Oryctolagus cuniculus: one gene and its partner. The protein of the gene in region 2 interacts with the protein of the main gene of each other region in a pairwise test. Links are inferred from orthologs where the notes say so. Each region holds a gene or a part of one and is shown on either strand. Other genes may lie near its edges.

Region 1 (9,964 bases), on a different chromosome or scaffold from region 2:
AGCCCTGGCCCAGCCATTGTGGGAATTTGGCTAGTGAACTAACTCTCTGTCTGCCTGTCTCACTAATGCTTCTTACATAAAGAAATTTTTTAAATGAAAAGAAATTTTATTAATAATTTTACTACATGTGTACAACTGCACTGATCAAATGAGAGTAGTCAACATTTCTCCTTTCGCATTATTTTGTGATTGGAACCTTGGAGCTGCTTTCTTTTAATTGCTCACAAAGTTTTTGTTTTTTTAAACAACTGATTTCCCTTTTGGGGTTCTTTTCACCCATTAGGTGGGAGTAGTTTTTGGAGTCTGAGTGTTTCACATGCCCCATTTGTTCAGAAAGCACATCTCGTGTTAGTGTCATTGTAAACACATAGTAACGGCATAGTTAGCAAGTCTGTGTGAGGGGGTCTTCAGAAAGTTCTTAGCAGATGAATACTTTGAAAAAACTGCATCAATTTCCCTTTTTCTGCACCAAAACTTTTCATTATTTTTCCATGAAATTTGAAGTACTCTCATATTGCAGAGAACAAGGTTGTTATCTTAGAAAATTCTAATTTGATACATAGAGTCTATACCCCTACAGCTGTAGATAAAGAATCAGCCTTATTTGGGGATGACTTTTTTCCTTTTTTTTAAAGAAAAACAGTAAAATGCATCCTTTTTTAATATACAGTTCTATAGGTTTGACCAGCATTTGTAACTACCACACCAAAATATGGAACAGTTCCACCCCTTCCCATATTCCCATCAGATCACTTGGCAGCCAATCATCCCGCCAACACAGGCCCCGGCAGCTGCAGTTCTGATTTTCACCGCTGTCCATTCGCCACTTGGGGAATGTCACGTAAATGCACTCATGGGGCATATAACCTTTCAAATAGGCCTTCTTGGGATCGGTGTTGTAGGGCAGCAAGTTAAACCACCACTTGCAACACCAGCATCCCATATCAGAGTGTGAGTCCTAGCTGCTCAGCTTCTGATCCAGCTTCCTGCTAACGCACCTGGAAAAGCAGTGGCTCATGGCCCAAGTTCTTGGGTCCTTGCCACCCACATGGGAGACCTGGATGGAGTTCTTGGCTTCTGACTTTGACCTGGCCTAATTCTGGCTGTTGTGGCCATCTGGGGAATGAACCAGTAAATGGAAGATATCCTTCTCTGTCCCTCACTCTACCTTTTAGATAAATAAATTTTATTTTAAAAATGGCTTATTTCATTTAGCATGCTGCTTTTGAGATGCATCCATGTCACTGAGTGCATCCACAGTTTATTCCCTTTTGCTAAAATAGTGTTCCATTGTATAAGTATGCCTTAGTTTGTCATATACAAGTTGAGGGATATTTGGGTCACTTACAGCTTTTAAATTTTGAATAAAGTTGCCATGAACTTTTGCACATGGGTTTTTATGTGAACATGTTTTTATTTCTCCTGGAGTGGCACTGCTTTTAGGGGATGAGGGTGTGTTTAATTTTATAAGAAACTGTCATGCTTTTCCAAAATGGCTCCACTGGGGCTGGCGTTGTAGCACAGTGAGTTAAGCCACCGCCTATGATGCTGGCATCCCATATGGGTGCGGGTTCACATCCCAGCTGCTCCACTTCTTATCTAGCTCCCTGTTAATGCACCTGTGAAAGCAGCAAAAGATGGCCCAAGTGTGTGTGCCTTGTGTGTGCCTTTGTCCCCGTGTGGGAGACATGGATGGAATACTAGGTTCCTGGCTTCAGCCTCACCCAACCCCTGTTCTCTCTGACTCTGACTTTCAAATAAATAAGTAAATAAATAAATATTTTTTTTTAAAATGGCTCCACTATTTCACATGCCCATCAACAAAGTATGAAGTTCCAATTACATAGTATTGTGTTTTTTATTTTGCCTATTCTAATAAAAAAAGATAAAGTATTACTTCATTGTTTAAACAGCATAAGAAATAATTGACATACAATACACAGTACATTTTTTTAAGTTATACTGTGTGACTTGCTTTGACCTAAATACATTATGAAGCCATTACCATCAAGGCAGAACATACCTCTTGCCTCAAAGTTTCCTCATGCCCCTTGGTTATTGCATTTCCACCCCAGGCCCACTATCTGAGCAACCACTGATCTATAGATAACAGAACCTGTAGATCAGCCACACTGTAAAAGGCTCCGAGGCCTTATCTCAGAGCCGCTGAACTGTTCGTTGCCTGGAACACTGGTCTCAGATTCAGCAGCTTGCTTGCAGACCTGCTGGCTTTTTGTGGTGCGATCTTTCTTCACCCACAGCCTGGCACGCGCCCCGCCCTCTTCTTGTTCTCCACAGCTTACTGACCTGTCTCCCCATGCAAAGGGATAAAGATGGGCGGCAGCCTGCAAACATGGAAGACAGTTTGAAAACTTCCTCTCCTGGAGGCCGAGCGTTCAGGGCCACGCACCCCATTTCTTTATCGATATGCAAATCGGAGCGCTGTCGGCTCCAGGGCCTCCTCCCTAAAAGACCGCTGTGAGAGCCCGAAGCAAACAGTCCCGAAAAAGACCCTGGGCATCTCCGGCAGCAGAGGCCCGGGCAGAGCTCATCTGGGACAATGCTCTGCCCTGCTCAGAGGGAAGGCGACGCCCCCTGCACGGCCCCACACAAACCCCAGACTACGAACTGGACCTCAGCTTCCGGCTCCGGCATCCTTTCCGACTCCTTTGCCGGAAACGAAGAACAGATCCCGTTCCTCTTCGCGTCCGCTAGCGGGACTCAAGGCTTGGGTGGAAGGGTCAGAGAGCAGGGACCACAACCTCCGGGATCCCAATCCGGCCGGCCTACCCGGAAGCGGCTCGGGGAGGGCGGGGATTGGGCACCACTTCCGGAAGCCGAGAGATTGGTTTCCCAGCCGGAGCTCTTCGAGGACGGACCGGAGGCGGCCGGTGAGTTCTGCCTGCGAGCCCGCGGGCCGGACTGGGAGGGCGGGCAGTGGGAGCGGTGTTCTTGCGGGTGTACGGTGCTTCGCGTAGATGTTTCTCCATCGCTGAGCGCTCGAGCAGATGTGGACGGGAAGGGAGGGAGCCCCTGGGAGGAGGCCGCGAGGTGAGGGGACGCCGGGACGCCCTTGCCGGGCTGGTGGGACAGTCGCGGCTGAGTTCCCAGAGCCGCAGGGCGACGAGGCCTGAGGTGCGTTTAGAGAGGGTCGCAGTGAGTGCAGCCGGGGTAAGATTCCGGGAGGCGGAGTTGTGAGGAGGCCTCTCTCGCGAGGCCGCTGCTGTAGATGGGACGGGTGGCCGGGGGACAGTTCAGCATGCCCCACAGGTTGTAAATTTCTGCCCTCTCAGTGAGTGAATTACGCCAAACGCAAGCAAACTGTGTTCAAGTCTTCTAAAGGTTCTTTTCTTCTAGTGTTATGTACTCAAGTTTGTGTGCTCAGCATAGGAAATTCAGAACATGTACAACAAAATAGTTCTGTAAAAGACAATACCAATCACCTAATAATCTTATTACCCAAGATGACCATATGTTGGTGTTTCCTTTGTGTGTGTGTGTGCATCGTTTGGTAATTGAGATCATAATGATTATTTTTCTGTATCTTTTTCATTGGACATCAGCATGATTAGAGGTTGAATGAACCATGTGTCAGGACATTTTAACACATTTATTTTTCTGCTTGCAACAGAAAATGTCAGGTAATTCTAGCAAGTCAATAACTTTTTAAAAGACCCCACATTTTGCTTTTTCAGATGTTTTTATTTAATGTTATTTATTGCTGTTTTCATACATCATCAAGGCTACAGTTGTAAATGGCTGTTTAGTTACAACCAATCCTGTCATTGGCTGAATAGGTTTTCAACTTTTCACTGATAAAACGACAAGAGGAGCATCTTGTTATGTAATCTTCACATTTCCAAATAATTCCTTGAGAAAAAGAAATCTGGGACCCACCAGATAAAAGGACAAAATGGCCCCATCAGATTTTCCTACCCAAATACCTCGTTAAGACTCTGAAGATGTTCCATTCAAGGAAGTGGTTAGGTCATTTGTAATAGTCAGCTTTTTCTTTCTACAATGCAGTACCTCGGATTGGGAAGCTGTGAGAGAAGGAGAATTATTTCAGCTCTTGGTTTGGAGGTTCACAGCCCAAGATCTGGTGGCCCTGTTGGCTCAGCATCTGTAATGGCATTCTTGCTGGAAAAGTCCCAGGTAGCACAGAGCATCACATGGCAAGTGGGAGTGTGTCCGTCTGCGGCTCCTTAGAAAGCCACCGTGGTCCCTGGGGGCTCTACCCAGCAACCTAATCCAATCTGATCACTTCCGAAGGGCCCTGCCTCTGAAATGATAGTGGATACATTAACATAAGACTTTGGGGACCAAGCCTTTAACAGCCGGGCCTTTGGAGGACAACTGGACTAATATCTAAAGCATAGCACCATTCTAGTTACTCAAGCTATCTTTTTTTTTTTTTTTAATTTATTTATTTGAAAGGCAGAGTTACAAAGAGGGGGTGGGAACAGAAATATCTTACATCCTCTGCTTCACTCCCCAAATAGCTGCATCAGCCCCAGCTCGGCCCAACCAAAGCCAAGAGACAAATTCCATCTGTGTCTCCCATATGGGTGACAAAAGCCCAAGAACTTGGGCCATCTGCTGCTGCTTCTCCAGGCACATTAGCAGGGAGATGGACTGGAAATGCAGCAGCCTGTCCTCGAACCATCACTGATATGAGATGCCAGTTTCTCAGGCAGCAGCCTACCCTACTATGCCACAATATGGGCCCTTTAAATTGTCTTTTTTAAAACTGTCTGTTAGGTCCAGCGTTCTGGCATAGTGGGTTAAGATGCTTCCTGTGACACCATCATCCCATACGGGTGCCAGTTCATGTACTAGCTACTCCACTTCTGATCAAACTCCCTGCTAATGGGCCTGGGAAAGCAGCAGAACATGGCTCAAGGGCTTGGGCTGCTACCACCATATGGGAGACCCAGAAGCAGCTCCTGGCTCCCAGCTTCAGCCTGGCCCAGCCCTGGCCATTGCTGCCATTTGGGGGAGGGAGCCAGTTGATGGAAGGTTCCTCTCTCTTTCTAACTCTGCCTTTCAAATAAATAAATAAAACGTCTTCATTTCTATCCTTTCCGTGTTATGCCTGTGTCTAAGGAAGGGCCAACATATTATTGATTCTTTAATAATCATGTCCTCTCTACCTAATTGCCATGTGTGGAATGAGTATCTTTGGGTAAGTTGTGATACTTCATCTTTCAAATTTTATTTTATTCCTTAACATTTGTGTGCAGGTCTTGCTAAAATACAAAGTGGTGAGCCAGAAAGTTACAAAGGCTGAGAGTAAGGTTTCATTAGTCCCACAGGTGTTCTGCTCCTAGCTATCTGCTGGGAAGCAGCCCCCTGGTGCAGCCCCCCGCACCCCAGCCTGCTCATCTGGACGAACAGACTGGCTGGTTAGACTTTCTTCCAGCAGCAGTAAAGGAACTACAGGCAGCTCAGTGGGCTTCAGAAGACAGATGTGCTTGGGAGCAGGGTTTTCTCGTTTAACCGTTCTGTGCTGCTGTTACAGCTACTTTTACTTATTTGTTGGCAAGGATACTGGTTTGTGAAGGAATGAATCATAATGTTAACAAAGGAAACTTATTAGTCTTTTTGGGTTTGTGCAGTGGAGTCCTGCTTATCTGTGAAATGCAGCTAATGCACCAGCTGGACCTGTTTCCCGAATGCAGGGTGACCCTTTTGTTGTTTAAAGATGTAAAAAATGCTGGAGACCTGAGAAAAAAGGCCATGGAAGGCACCATTGATGGTTCACTGATAAATCCTACAGTGGTGAGTACAAAATGGGAGAATGAAGGCACCACGCAGGCATTTAAGGCTGTGCCACTTTCTCACCATGCTACTGGTTAGCCTACAATCTTAGCATCAAGTGAAAAGTTCTCATCCAACTCAGACTTGGCCAACCTTGAATTTAACAGTGAGTGGACACAGAAGCACCAGGCCCTGCCCCAGGGAAAAGGAAAGGTAGTGTGGCTGACCCCCGTGGTGGACGCCAGGGACCCCAGCTGCTCATCTGTGAGATGAGCGTTGTGAGGAAGCCAGTCTGGAGAGGCGTGGTGCCGCGGTTAAGACGACGTGACCGGGACCCAGCCACAGCTCTGCTGCTTACTGCAGCTCCGAGCAAGTGACAGCCAGCCTTTATGTGGCACTGACGTGCTCCTAGGATTGCTCTAAGTGTCGTTCTTCTAATTCTGACTCACCTTCCCAACAACCTGGTGAAGTGAGTTCTGGCATTTTTTGTCTCTAACTTAGCCAGCTCCCCTAGGTGGGAGAGCTGTGATTCACACCCTGACACGCCACGCCTCAGTCTCCTCAGCTACTACCTGTGAATAATGTCAGTTTCTGTGGGTAGCTTTAGGATTAAGGATCATACAGGTAAAATGTTTTAGAATGGACCTTTCTGATAATATTAGCCCTGGATAAATGTTAAACATTCTTACTGTTTATTTAAAGTTTACTATTCTGATTTTTTTCAGTATCCAGACCTTTGATGTAATAGTTTTGAAAGTATACTCCACAAGAATTGTGATAAGCTAAGGCAGCTTGACACTGGAGCGACCCTGGGATAAGGCCCGTGTCTGCAGGGTGTGCCAGAATCTCTGATTCTTGTTGTTCTCTTTGGTAGATTGTCGATCCATTTCAGATACTTGTGGCAGCAAACAAAGCCGTTCACCTCTACAAACTGGGAAAAATGAAGACAAGAACACTGTCTACGGAAATTATTTTCAACCTCTCCCCAAACAACAATGTAAGGTGGCATTCACTGTTTCTTTTAACCTTGTCCTAATGATCTGTGTGTTCCCCAGACATGGGTCGGAGACTGAGTTCCTGCAAACCAGTTATTAGGAATAGACCAGAATAACTGCAAAGAGAGCTCTGGACAGAGAGTTGAGTGGAGCTCTGCCTCTGAATAGTTGAGTCGGCCTTGGAGCCAGTTTGCTTGTGAGGAAAACAGAAGTTGAGCTAAGCTAGGGAGGCTAGTTTTGTTTGTCCTTCTTAACATACGGGATTGGGAAGATCTCGTCAGTACTGATGTTTAAGAAACAGGCGGAAACCTCAATGACCAGACGTTAGGCACGGACAGTTGATGTGTTAGCAGGCACGTGTTTCACTCTCCCTGTAAACTTCTTGTCCTTTCTGTGTACCAGGAACTTACTGGTGATATGGGCCTTGATGTCTTAATCTTTTTTTTTAAAAGATTTTATTTATTTGAAAGGCGGAGCCAGAGAGAATTCCATCTGCTGGTTCACTCAGCGAATGGCCACAATGGCTGGAACTGCACTGATTGGGAGCCAGGAGCTTCTTCTGGGTCTCCCACAAGGGTGCAGGAGCCCAAGGACTTGGGCCATCGTCTACTGCTTTCCCAGGCACATTAGCAGGAAGCTGGATCAGAAGTGGAGCAGCCTGGACTCGACCCAGCGCCCATATGGGATGCCAGCACTGCAGGCAGTGACTTTTACCCGCTATGCTACAGCGCCGGCCCTGGTATCTTAATCTTTACTCTAGGACTGGCCCCGCACAGAGAGAATTCAAAGCAGAGGCATAATACAGTGCACAAGTGAAAAGTTTTTATTTAAAAGTGAGAGTGAATGTACATGCATGGTGAGTGGGCTGCCCCACACATAGAAATACCTGTCAAGAATGGGCCAGAGAGTGCCCATGAGAAGAGAGAGAAAGAAAGCCAGAGAAGGGTCCCCAAGCATGGCAAAGGGCAAAAGAAGGTCCCTCCTCTGTTATCAGCTGCTTTTATGAAGTAGGGGTGGTGTCAATTAAATAACAAATGGAGGGGAGGTCTTAGCATGCATGAGCTCTCTGAGATTTTTATGGCACATCCACTTCCATGTGGCCATCATGGCTTCTCCTTCTTGGACCTGGATGAGACACAGGTGCATCCTGGGAAGGCAGGCATGGTAGATTGACAGGTGAAGGGATAAAGCCTGCTCATACATCTACTACACAGGAAGAGTCCACAGCTTGAAATACTCACAATAATACTTTCCCAATAAGAGCTAACTGAATTAGGGACTGGCCCTGTGGGGTAGTGGGTAAGCCAACTCGTGTAGTGCTGGCATCCCACATGGGCACCAGTTCAAGTCCTGGTTGCTGCACTTCCAATCCAGCTCTCTGCTAATGTGCCTGGGAAAGCAGCAGAAGATGGCCCAAGTGCTTGGGCCCCTGCATCCATGTGGGAGACCCAGAGGAAGCTCCTAGCTCCTGGTTTCAGCCTGGCCCAGCCCCACCTGTTGGTTGCCATTTGGGGAGAGAACCAGCAGATGGAAAACCTCTCTATGTAACTCTACCTTTAAATAAATAAATCTTTTAAAAGAAAAAGTTATTGAGCTAAAGGCATTCCACACACTGTATATGCAAAAATGCCTGAAATTTTGCTAATGAAGTTTTAGTATTGCTGCTACTACTACTGTTAATAATGCAACCTGGTACTAACAGCATCAAGAGAAAAATTAGGAAACCTGTGGCATGGTCTGAAATACAGATAATTACAAAGTTTGTAAAATGCACTTGCCTCAGCCTGCTAATGGAATTCTCCAGTACCTGGAATACAGTTTACCAGATTAGTTATTTCTTTGAAAACATTTGAAATAATTCACGAAACTGTTCAATGGACATGGAACTTGTCCCATTTACAGTGCCAGGGGCAGAAAATGCAAATATATTCCTGAGGAAAGGCAGATAAACAAGACAAAAGTTAACGTGCCCTACAGTGAATATGGAAATATGATGTTAATTGTCGGGGTAACGGAAGAAGAAGGGTGTGGCAGAGTGGCAGCTGAACCAGGCCTTGAAGCACACATTCGGTGGTCAGGCTGCAGGGAAAGGGGGAGACAGAGTGAAATCTGGCAGGATCCCCAAGCCCGAGAGGCCAGGGGCATGTGGCTAGAGGGTCACTTGGGCCGTGGGAGTGGGCTATTTATGTGAAGTGCCAAGGAGTCTGGGCCTGATTCCATAGGAACCAGGTCGGCTAAAGGCCCGGGGTGCCTTGGAGACCCTAGCAGTAGTTGGTGGAAAGGGACGATTGAGGGGAAAAGCAGGCAGACAGCTGTTTCCAGGTGAAGAAGAACTGTACCAAGGAGGATGGTGGACCAGGAGGTGTTTCAGGTACAGGAAACCCCGACTCATTATCTTGATGCTTTTGGATTTTGTTTGTATTTTTTCTTAGATTTCAGAAGCTTTGAAAAAATTTGGTATCTCAGGAAATGATACTTCAATTCTAATTGTTTACGTTGAAGAGAGAGAAAAACAAATAAATCAAGAAGACCTAATATCTCAAGTGGAAGGGCAGCAGGTTTCTCTGGAAAAGCTTCCTGAAATAACAAATATTACAGAAGTCAAAAAGGTTCGTAAAACTTCACACAATTTTTTTTTTTAAGATTTATTTGAAAGAGTTACAGAGAAGGAGAGGCAGAAGGGAGAGAGAGGTCTTCCCTCTGCCAGTTCACTCCCCAGTTGGCCACAGTGGCTGGAGCTGCATGGATCTGAAGCCAGGAGCCAGGAGCTTCTTCCGGGTCTCCCACGTGGGTGCAGGGGCCTGAGGATTTGCGCCATCTTCTACTGCCTTCCCAGGTCATAGCAGAGAGCTGGATTGGAAGTGGAGCAGCCGGGCCTCGAACCAGCGTCCATATGGGATGCCAGCATTGCAGGTGGTGGCTTTACCTGCTATGCCACAGTGCTGGCCCCTATACAAACTTTTTTAAAAGATTTTATTTATTTGAAAGAGCTACAGAGAATGAGAGAGAAATCTACCTGCTGGTTCATTCCCCAAAATGGCTGCAACAAGCCAGGGCTGAGCCGGGCTGAAGCCACGAGCCAGGAGCTTCTTCCAGGCCTCCCATGTAAGTAGCAGGGGCACAAGCACTTGGGCCATCTTCTGCTGTTTTTCCCAAGCCATTACCATGGAGGATTGGAAGTGAGGCAACCGGGACATGAACTGGTGCCC
Region 2 (9,944 bases):
CCTCCAGGACACGGCACAGCACTGGACACAGGCAAGGCGCCCACTTAGCGAAGGAACTAGTGAAGGAGAGAAGAGATGAAGAAACAAGACAGAACCGGACGTCCCCAAGTCTGTCTGGCTCCCTACTGGTGAGTGATTCGTGTGGTGCCTGCCGTGTTTACAAGTGCTCAGCTGCGGCCGGCGCCGCGGCTCACTAGGCTAATCCTCCACCTGCGGTGCCGGCACCCCGGGTTCTGGTCCTGGTTCGGGCGCCGGATTCTGTCCCGGTTGCCCCTCTTCCAGGCTAGCTCTCTGCTGTGGCCCGGGAGTGCAGTGGAGGATGGCCCAGGTCCTTGGGCCCTGCACCCCCATGGGAGACCAGGAGGAAGCACCTGGCTCCTGGCTTTGGATCGGCGCAGCGCAGCGGCCATAGCAGCCATTTGAACCAACTGAAGGAAGGCCTTTCTGTCTCTCTAACTCTGCCTGTCAAAAAAAACAAAAAACAAAAAAACAAGTGCTCAGCTGAGGTGTGGCATGAATGCATGATCAAGTTCAAGGACGGGAAGGAGGGAATGAAGCAAGGCAGGGAGTTGGGAAGCAGAGGAAGAAGGGAGGAGGGAGGAGAGAAGGAAGTGGAGGACCTGCTTGCCCAGCCAACGACAGTGACTGCGACCTCTGGTGGCAAAGGAGAGCCACAGTCCTTTGGAGGTGCAGGGCCTTGAATTAAGTACGCAAGACAGACTCCTAGCTCCGCTTGTTAGAAGGTCTGGCCGCCAGTGCCAGCCTGGTTAGGACTAGGACGAGGCAAGGGATGAACTGTAACAGGGTAAGAGGGAGCCAGGTAACTCAACATAATCAAGACAAAGATTTTAACACAATTGTTTAGAAAGAAATTAGCAAACTAGGACAAACGTGCATGTTTTTGTAAATAGTTTTACTGAAGCCAGGATCAGGATTAGGGTTCTCTTTCCTACCTAGGGCAGGCACTGCACCCTACAAGCTTTCATTAACCCGGGTGTTCCCAAATGCCCCAGCAGGTCTGAGTGTGCCCGGCTCCTCTCATCTACCAAGGCCGAGCCTCGGCTGGAACACTCGCCAGGCCCTGCCTTCAAGGCGTTAACTGCGTCCTGGAAGCATTTCCAGGCCTGTGGACCAGCTACAGCCCTTGTCGATGACAGGACACGGACCCCTGTCCATTTCAGTGCTGGACACAGCCCAGGTCACAGCCCACTGCATTCAGTCAATGATCCCGGGCAAGACCAGGCCCAGCTGCCTCCTCTGTACGATGAGTTAGTGCATGCGAGAACCTAGTGACAACTCAACTACTTACTGGGGCTAAACAGTTGGGTGCAGGGGCCGGTGTCATGGTGTAGTGAGCTAAGCTGCTGCCTGGGAGGCCAGCATTCCATATCTGGGTGCAGGTTCAAGTCCCAGCGGCCAAGCTCTGACCCAGCTCCCTACTAACGCACCTGGGGCAGCAGCAGCAGATGGCCCAGGTAACTGGGCCCCTGTCACCCATGTTCCAGGCTCCTGTCTTTGGCCTGGCCCAGCCCTGGCTGTTACAGCCATTTTGGGGCATGAACCAGCAGCTGGAAGCTAACTCTTCTCTCCACCCCCCATCACTGTCTTTCAAATAAGTCATTTTTTAAATTGGGTTTGAATCGCAGCTATCACTTACTGTGATCCTAGAGCCCCCTCACACTGCTGAGTGTTCTGCACCTGGGATGGGGGATTGTAACCCTTGTTGGGATTGCAACTCTGAAGGCCCCTTAGCCCTCGGGAAAGGAACCCTCGGCTCCCCTGGGGCTTCTGTCAGAACACGGATGCGACAACACTGCTGGGAACAACCCTGGCTTTTATCCAGCCCCCAGCATTCCGATCTCTCCCCTCATTAGTGCTTCCTATGCTGCTGCCTCCCCCCACCCACCCCACGGCTGCTGGCGGCCACATTCCACGCGCTGCCGGGTGCCATGCCCCGGCCAAGGGGTTGCAGCACACTCCCCACTGCTTCCGCCGCCACCACCACCACCACCCCCAGCCCCAGCTACCTCCCTAGTGGCCCAGCCAGGTACAGCAGCCTTCTCACTTCCTGGCTTCTTGCTCCCCCTCTTGCCCCTACACTTTCTGTACAGGCATCTAAAGCAACCCTTTCGAAACACTGATCGGATGTCACCCTGCTTTAGTCCCAGTAAGAGTAAAATCCAGCCTGTGACCGCCCGGGCTCTACCCAGCTCTCCAATCCCATCCTCTCTTCATCCTGGCTCCCTCACGCCAGCCACTGCAGCCTTGCCGCCCCGCCCCTCAGGGACGGTCCTCGTCACCAACTTCCGCAGGGCACACTTCGCCCATCTCCTGAATTGCTCGTTCTTCACATCTACCCTCACCCCTGCAGTACACCGACTTGGGACTTCCTCACTTCTCCCAGGCGCTCTCCAGGGCCTGGCACACAGCACACAACAGGGATTTGCTGACTTATGCCCACAGGCGTGGATCAACCAGTCACACGCCCCACGAGGTAAGTATTAGGCTTGTAGTACAAACGAAGAAACTAAATGAGCCCTCTCAGTCACGCTGAGTCTATCAATTCAAACAAAGTCACTGGCAGCTCCCGGGGCCCTGCAGTTCTTCAAAGCTGCTGGGAGCCCCTCCGTACTATCCTAACACAGAGATGGGTCATGTCCAGTATCTCCTACAGACCAGGGGAAGACAGGGGCTTTGGCGCCAGGGACAAGTTCCTCCTGCTCCTGTGACATCGTGAGCAGTGAGCTCCTTTCTAGTCTGTTTCCCCAACCATTCAAAGACAGTACCTGACTCAGAGCTGTTTCCACAGGCACAGTGCTCAACAGTCAACAGCCACGCGAGGGCTCCTCTCCCCCAGTCACTAGCAGGGAAGGGCCGCCTCCATTCAGGGCACCTGAGTGGACGCTGACTGTGCTGACCAAAACAGACATGGTGCCAGTCTCACCAGAATGTCCGTTCCACTGGAGCAGGCGCAGCCCTTTGTAAGAGGAAAGAGAAAATGAGGCTCTAGAGCACGTATCGTGCTTTGCCATGACCCTTAACAGAAACACGTCCGAAGCAGCTTTCAAAGCAGCTTTCATCAAACAGTGCGCTCTGCTACCTTCTGGTCGGACTCTATCCCACGAGTCTGAAGACGAGCTCATCACCAACGGTCTGATGTGTCACCAGCAGCACCGACAGCGAACGTTCTGCTCACCCAGCCACAGGCTGCTTTCGATGCTATGTCTACGCACCTGAGGCTTACACACCAAAGCTGAAAGGCAGGCCTGCCCTGGATTGACTTTCTCGTGAATCATTCACTCAAGAGACAGACAGATGAAGGCAGAGAGTGCACTCCCCTGCACTGGTTCACTTCTCATACGCCCACGATGGCCGGGGTTAGGCAGGGACCAGAGCCCGGAAGGCAATCCAGGTCTCCCACAGGGATGGCAGGGGCCGGTTACTCGAGCCATCACTGCAGCCTCCTAGGATCAGCGCTGGTGGGAAGCCGGTCGCGCCACACCCAGGCACCCCGAGACAGGACACAGGGGTCTCAACCGCTAAGCTGATGCCCAGTCCTGGATTGACTGCAAACACCCAGTTCTGCCTGGAGCACCTCACGCAAGCTCTTAGGAATACTCACTGCAGATGGCGACACTCAACAGGCATGACCACACACACGGCTTCAAAACAGCTCGATACATTTATTGAGGCCTAGTCTCACGTTTGTAGAGTCCAGATTTACCCTGAAGATCGGCCTAGCCTTGTGGAGCCGCCTCGCGTCCTACCCGACCATCGACCGCTTTCTGCCCCGCAGCCGGACTTCGTCCAGCTTTCGGAGCACTGGCCTGGCCTTCCTGGAGGCGCTGGCGTAGCTCTTCAGGAAGGCCTCGAACACGGGCTCGGTGTTCGGGTGGGTGCTGAGGAAGGCCTTCTCCAGGACGTACAGGTCCACGCCCTTATCTTCCGGAAGCCCCGAGACGAAGCTCAGCCCAAAGTCGATGAGCACGATGCTCAGCTGCTCCGCCGGGGGCTTCAGGAGCATGTTGGAGGTCGTGAGGTCCCCATGGATGAGGTCTTCGTCGTGCATCCGAGCCAGCACCTGCCCGATCGCCTTGGCCAAGCCACAGAGGCTCTGGGGGGTTCCTTCAGAGTCCAGGGTGGACTGGATATAATCCCGCACCGTGACTGAGCCTTCGATTTCCTCCATGTACAAGCAGTTGGAAGCATAGTCCACGAAAAAGACCACTGGGGCACAGATGCCTGGAATCAAGACGCGGGGGGTTACTGGGTTGCATTCTTGGTTTTTTCCCTTAGTCAAGGCTTCATTTTCAAAGTTAAGTGAGTCTTCCAGTCTTTACTCACTTCAGGAAACAGCTTTAGGAAACGGCACAACTCGACTCTGGAACATTCTCGGGCTCAGGCCTGAGACCATTAAACAGCCCGGGGTAGGGGGGCCAAAGCTTCCTCCTTCCCCACACTACAACTTGGGGCTGAACCCTAGTTCTCACACCAACCTGGGAGCCAGCAGGGGAGGCCCGGCCCAGACAGAAGTTTCTGGACACAACGGAGCCCGGCAGAGTGGCCACGGGGAGGCTCATTTCGCAGTCTGTAAGGGTGGAGTCCGATCCCTGCGCTTAGCAGCGGTGCGACCTCGGTTTATGCTACTCATGGGGTCGCCACCCTCAGTGCGCACAGTCAAGGAGGCCACGTTCTAGAAACGGAGACCTCTCCCGGGGCTACAGCCCACGATCCCCGCTGCACGGCGCCTGCAGCGCAGAGAGGGGTGAACACAGACGCCCGCAGCTTCCGGAACCGCAGAAACGCCCGGGACTTGTCCGCCTGCTCTCCCCCAGCTTCCCCGCGCCTCCCAGCCCCCGACATGGCCCTGGTGTGCAGGAGGTCGGGAGGATGTGACCCGGGAAAGCTGCTGCCGCTCTCCCAGCCCCAGGTTCTCGGCTGAGGTCGGAGTTCCCGGCGGCGGGGCACAGGGGTGCTTTCATGAAAAAAATGAACGAATGAAGTCTAACACGTGCCAGGCTGACATTCAAACACAGCCGGCGACCGCTCACAGCGCCCCCGGAGGCGGGCTCCCCAGCACCGCTGCCGCCTTGCAGGCAAGGACGCCGAGGCTGCGCGAGACGCGAGCCCAGAGAGCCCGGCTGCTGTGACGGAAACCCTGACACCGCACGCGGGAAAACCCAAGGCCAAGGCGGCAAAGCAACCGTGCACCACCGAGCAACAGTCAGGGCCCAAACGCGCCAGCAACTCGCCCGGAGCGCATCGAGACCGGGCGCGAGGACGACGCGTCCCGACCGGGGGTCCGGGCGGCAGGCGCCAGTGCACCCCCAGGCCCCGGCCGCGCCGCCTCACCTGCGCGGCGGCAGCGGAGCAGCGCCCGCGCCTCCTGCACCGTCCGCCGCCGGCCGAGCCGCGCCTCCAGCGTCGGGTGCCGGTAGCCCTTGGGGAAGCGGTGCTTCACCACGGCCGCCCGGCCCTGGAAGCGGCCGCGGAACACGCGCGCCTCGGCGCCCTGCTTCACCAGCTGCAGGCCGCTCAGGAAGCGGCTGCTCCGCTCCAGGGCCGCGGCCAACGCCTCCGCCGCGGGCTCTTCGTGATTCTCTGTGGCACCAGCGTCGGGGGCCGCCATGGCAGCGCTTCCGCCCTCCCCGGAAATGCCGGCGACGCTTCCGCTCGCTCCGAAAATCCTCCGGGCTCTTCCGCCTCTCTAGCGGCTCCCCCTGCAACACTTCCGCCCTGGGAAAATGGTTCCGCCTCCCAACTTTCGGCTCCTGTCAGAGCCTTTGGTGCCCGCAGCGAACGGCTCTGTGACTCCGCCCCCAGCCCTTCGGCTATCTCCGTAAACGCTCGGCAACTCTCGGGAAATCGTTCCTCACCACTGCTCGGCACTTTCCGGAAGCCCTCGGTGACGCTGGCGAGCTGCCGGGGGCGGGGGTGCTCGGCTCCCAGTTCTTCGGCTCTTTCCGGAAAACTTCGGCTACTTTCGATTAAAACGATTTTTGGGGTGCTCTTTGCCCTTCTCAGGAGTTCCTCAGGATCCTGGAAAGCTTTGCGGCCAGTAGAGCCTTTTCGGAACTCACAAGGCTCACTGCAGTCAGAGCGGGTGCTGGGATAGCAACCACCGTTTCTCTCAGCGCCTTGGGGAATAATAAGGTTAAACGGTGGAAAACCCTCCTTACAGAAAACAGACTCAGGACTATGGTGATGGCCAGATCACTGGGGCCGAGAGGGGACAGAACCTAACTGTGTTGCAGAAATTGATGACTTTATCACAAGGCTGATAGGAGCAGTAACAGATTCTTGCTATAAAGAATTTTGCACTCAGTCATCAAAGATTGCTATACTCCTCACCAGGCCCCACAGAACTTTATATGTATCATGCCTTTCTAGATGCATTTTTAAAAGATTCGTGTATTTATTTATTTGAAATAGTTACAGAGAGAAAGGAGGAGACAGAGAGGTCTTCCACCTGCTGGTTCACTCCTCAAAAGACCATAATGGCCAGGGTTGGGCCAGGCCAAAGCCAAGAGCCAGGAGCTTCTTCCTGGTCTCCCACAGGGTGCAGGGGCCTGAAGCCTCGAGCCACCCTCTGCTGCTTTCCCGGGCCATTAGGAGGGAGCTGGATCAGAAGTGGAGCAGCAGGGACTCTAACCGGCACGCACGTGGGATGGCGGGTCACAGGCGGCAGCTTTACCTGCTACCCCACAGGGCCAGCCCCTCCACATGTTTTTATACAATGTGCATGCACACACATATCATTGTGAGGCTTCTCCCCCAACAGAAATGAGAATATGATGCACATTATTTTGCTACTTGCTTTTTTCCCCCTAAGCAGTTTGTCCCAGATAATCTTCCTTATCAGAATATCTAGAGCTGCCACATCCTTCTACAGGGTCAAACGGTTCCTTGTTGCTAAGTTTTAGTACATTTCTTATTGTCGTTTTACTTTCTCTTACGAAACGCTGCGATGAACAGGCTGATCCAGGCATCATTCATTGCAGCATGCACAAGTGTTTCTGGGGACGTCTGTCTACAAGTGATGTCACTGGGTGCAGGAGACAAGCTCTTTAAAATCCGATCCGTCAGCCAAACTGCCCTTCCAAAGGTCTGTGTCTTTTTAGAGTTCTATGCAAGTATATCCCATTTCCCTGCACCCTCATCCTCTCTGATTTTCCCAGGTTTTGAAAGGCCTAACCAGGTAGAGGAATGGGAGAGTGCTCGGGTTGCAGGCCCAAAGAATGAACAGGAGGCAAGGCTGGCTTGGACAAAGGCCAGCAGCTTGGTCATGTGACCTAAACCGCCAGGGAACAGCTCTGTGCTTTGAGTCCTGTAGCAGTTGGGGGCCAGGTTACGCGACTGCAGCCAGGTGACCTAAACGGTGGATGAAATATGAGAGATGTTTGGTTCTCTCTTATGCAACAGTGGAGATCAGCCGTCTTCCACCCATTGCTTCCTTCTCTGAGCCTTATTCCACTTGTCAGCTGCCCCACTCGGCGAGCCGGGACGAGGGCGGGCAGCAGATATTGAATAGCTAAGGACTTGACCCAGAGTGACACCCAGCATTCCCACTTCCATCCTACTGGCCAGAACTTGGTTGCCTGGTCCCAGGCACAAAGGCGGTTGGGAAACCTATCCCCCAGCAGGGCAGCAGAGGACTCAGCCAAAACCTTGGGGGGGTTATTACCAAAACAGGAAGTAGAAGAGAATATTAGGGGACAGTTAGTAGACTGTGGCATGGCACAGTTTTGACATTTTGAGCTGCAAGTAACCCATTAGTCAGTTAGTTAACTAGGGTAAACAATGAGCTCACTTGTTATCTCACACCATTTCAGGAAGTGGAGTATTCCAGCGATGATTCGGTCATCTTCTGAAAGCAGGGTCACAGGATCTCTGCATTGGCACCCAGCAGCCTCGGTGTGTTGTTGCCATCCTTGCCTGGTGGGCATGAGATGGCCATCAGAGCTCCCTTCATCCTGTGAAGACACAACCGCATCGCATTCAAGAGGAGAGGCGTGAGCCCTTGCACACCGTATTTGCTGGTTCTCCCTTCTATGCTGACTGCCCCTGCAGGACAGTAGCCACAGCTGGCCCCTGTGTCCAGAAGAAGCTGGAAAAGTGTGCGTCTGGCATCTTCAGACTCTGCGGACAAAGCAGGGGGGAAGGCGGCTGGGCATAGCTCCTGGGGAGCCAAGCGCCGGTGCCCGTCACCCTGGGTGCCACGGCGGCCAGCACCATTTCTCCGAGTTGCAGGATGGGATAGTCAGCTGTCCTTCAGCAAGTGCCTGTTGCGACCCACTGAGGTATGGCCCACGTGGGTGCCCGATGGATGGCAGACCCTGCCTGTGCTTGGCTGCTTCTGCCTTCCCGCAGTCCCGGGATCCACCAGAGACTCTGCAGAGAGGTCCTGCCACTCGGCAGCCCCCGGGTCTCCTTCACACACACACACACACGCCAGGGCGCCTTCGCAACTGGCAGACCTCTATGTTGGGACCGTGTGGACTCCAGCACGGGTCAGCAGCCCACACTAGCAGAGTGCTCCCAGTTCCCCAGGCTGTGGCTTCCTTATCATAACCACTGGTGGCCGCATGGCCAGCTCTGTGGTTACCAAAGCCATCTGAAGCCCCGCTTTAGAAATCTACAGCGAAGGAAGGAAGGAAGGAAGGAAGGAAGGAAGGAAGGAAGGAAGGAAGGAAGGAAGGAAGGAAGGAAGGAAGAAATCTGCAGTGCACACTTGTCTACAAGACCCAGGCTCTACTCAGGCTGTTCGGGCTTCTACAGTAGGGAAATGAGTTTAGAATCTGTTGCCTCCCCACTGCACTTTGGATGAAGACCCAATCCTTAATTCAAACCACGAGGCTGTGCGTGGGACCCCCGCATCCTCCTCCCCACCCATCCCCCAGCAAGCCGCCCTGGGATCTCCACACTTCTGACATATTTACCTTCTGTGTCTCTTGCATGCTCCCCATGTGCCCCCCACCCACACCCCCGGCCAGAATTGCTCTTCCCTTACTTTGTTGCCACGGCCCGTGCAGGCGTGCTTCCGTTGGCAAGTGTCACCTCCACACACACGCAGGCTGAATTTCTGACTTGCTACCTAACAATATCACGCAGGTGGGTCCAGCCATGCCTGAAGCACATATTCCAATACCTGTGAACCGATACGTTTGCTCTGTGCTGCAGACACTTTGCGATAGGTCCCTGGCACTTGCAACTCAAAGCCTGCTGACTGCCAGGATGACAAGCCTGTGGACAGAGCTAATTTGCAGACAAGTGACAGGGCCAGCCACGCTGCATGCGAGCCAGTGCCATGACCCTGAGAAGTAAGTAAACAGAGTTACAGGCCCCTGAGGGTTCCTGGGGTCCTTTTGCTATCATCACACATTTGTTTTGTTTGTTTGTTTGTTTTTTGTTTGACAGGCAGAGTTAGACAGTGAGAGAGAGAGACAGAGAGAGAGACAGAGAGAAAGGTCTTCCTCCCATTGGTTCACCCCCCAAAATGGCCGCTACGGCCGGCGCTGCACCAATCCGAAGCCAGGATCCAGGTGCTTCCTCCTGGTCTCCCATGGGGTGCAGGGCCCAAGCACCTGGGCCATCCTCCACTGCACTCCCAGGTCACAGCAGAGAGCTGGCCTGGAAGAGGGGCAACCAGGACAGAATTCGGCGCCCCGACCAGGACTAGAACCCGGTGTGCCGGTGCCGCAGGCAGAGGATTAGCCTAGTGAGCCGTGGCGCCTGCTCACACAGTTGTTACGCAGCAATTTTGTGGCAACATCTAACTGCTGCAAAGGGAGGCATAGAGCCGTCTCCTTCCAGCGGCTCAGCCTCTGTGACTTCTGGGGAATGCTTGGAGACTTCGCCACGTGTGCCTGTGTGCCACCCACTCGCTCCAGTGCGCGTGCTGGTGGCCGCTGGGATGTATCCAGTTTGGGAGATGATTTTGCCAG

What was found. The genes of interacting proteins can lie anywhere in the genome.
Region 1: the proteins of TP53RK (region 2) and TPRKB interact in binary tests that used the Homo sapiens proteins (3 or more experiments, as listed by UniProt). The link is inferred for Oryctolagus cuniculus from reciprocal best matches to the Homo sapiens genes TP53RK and TPRKB.

Annotation. Positions count from the first base shown.
Region 1 is NC_091433.1:129,224,797-129,234,760, forward strand, and holds the start of TPRKB (EKC/KEOPS complex subunit TPRKB), read left to right. Parts: upstream 1-3,431; 5' UTR 3,432-3,579; coding exon 3,580-3,641; intron 3,642-4,022; exon of another isoform or gene 4,023-4,155; intron 4,156-5,618; coding exon 5,619-5,781; intron 5,782-6,634; coding exon 6,635-6,757; intron 6,758-9,187; coding exon 9,188-9,364; intron 9,365-9,964. UniProt on the Homo sapiens protein: Component of the EKC/KEOPS complex that is required for the formation of a threonylcarbamoyl group on adenosine at position 37 (t(6)A37) in tRNAs that read codons beginning with adenine.
Region 2 is NC_091442.1:12,875,924-12,885,867, reverse strand, and holds TP53RK (EKC/KEOPS complex subunit TP53RK), read right to left. Parts: upstream 5,682-9,944; 5' UTR 5,630-5,681; coding exon 5,353-5,629; intron 4,243-5,352; coding exon 3,764-4,242; 3' UTR 3,664-3,763; downstream 1-3,663. Other genes in the region: SLC2A10 (solute carrier family 2, facilitated glucose transporter member 10), read left to right, coding at 9,293-9,320.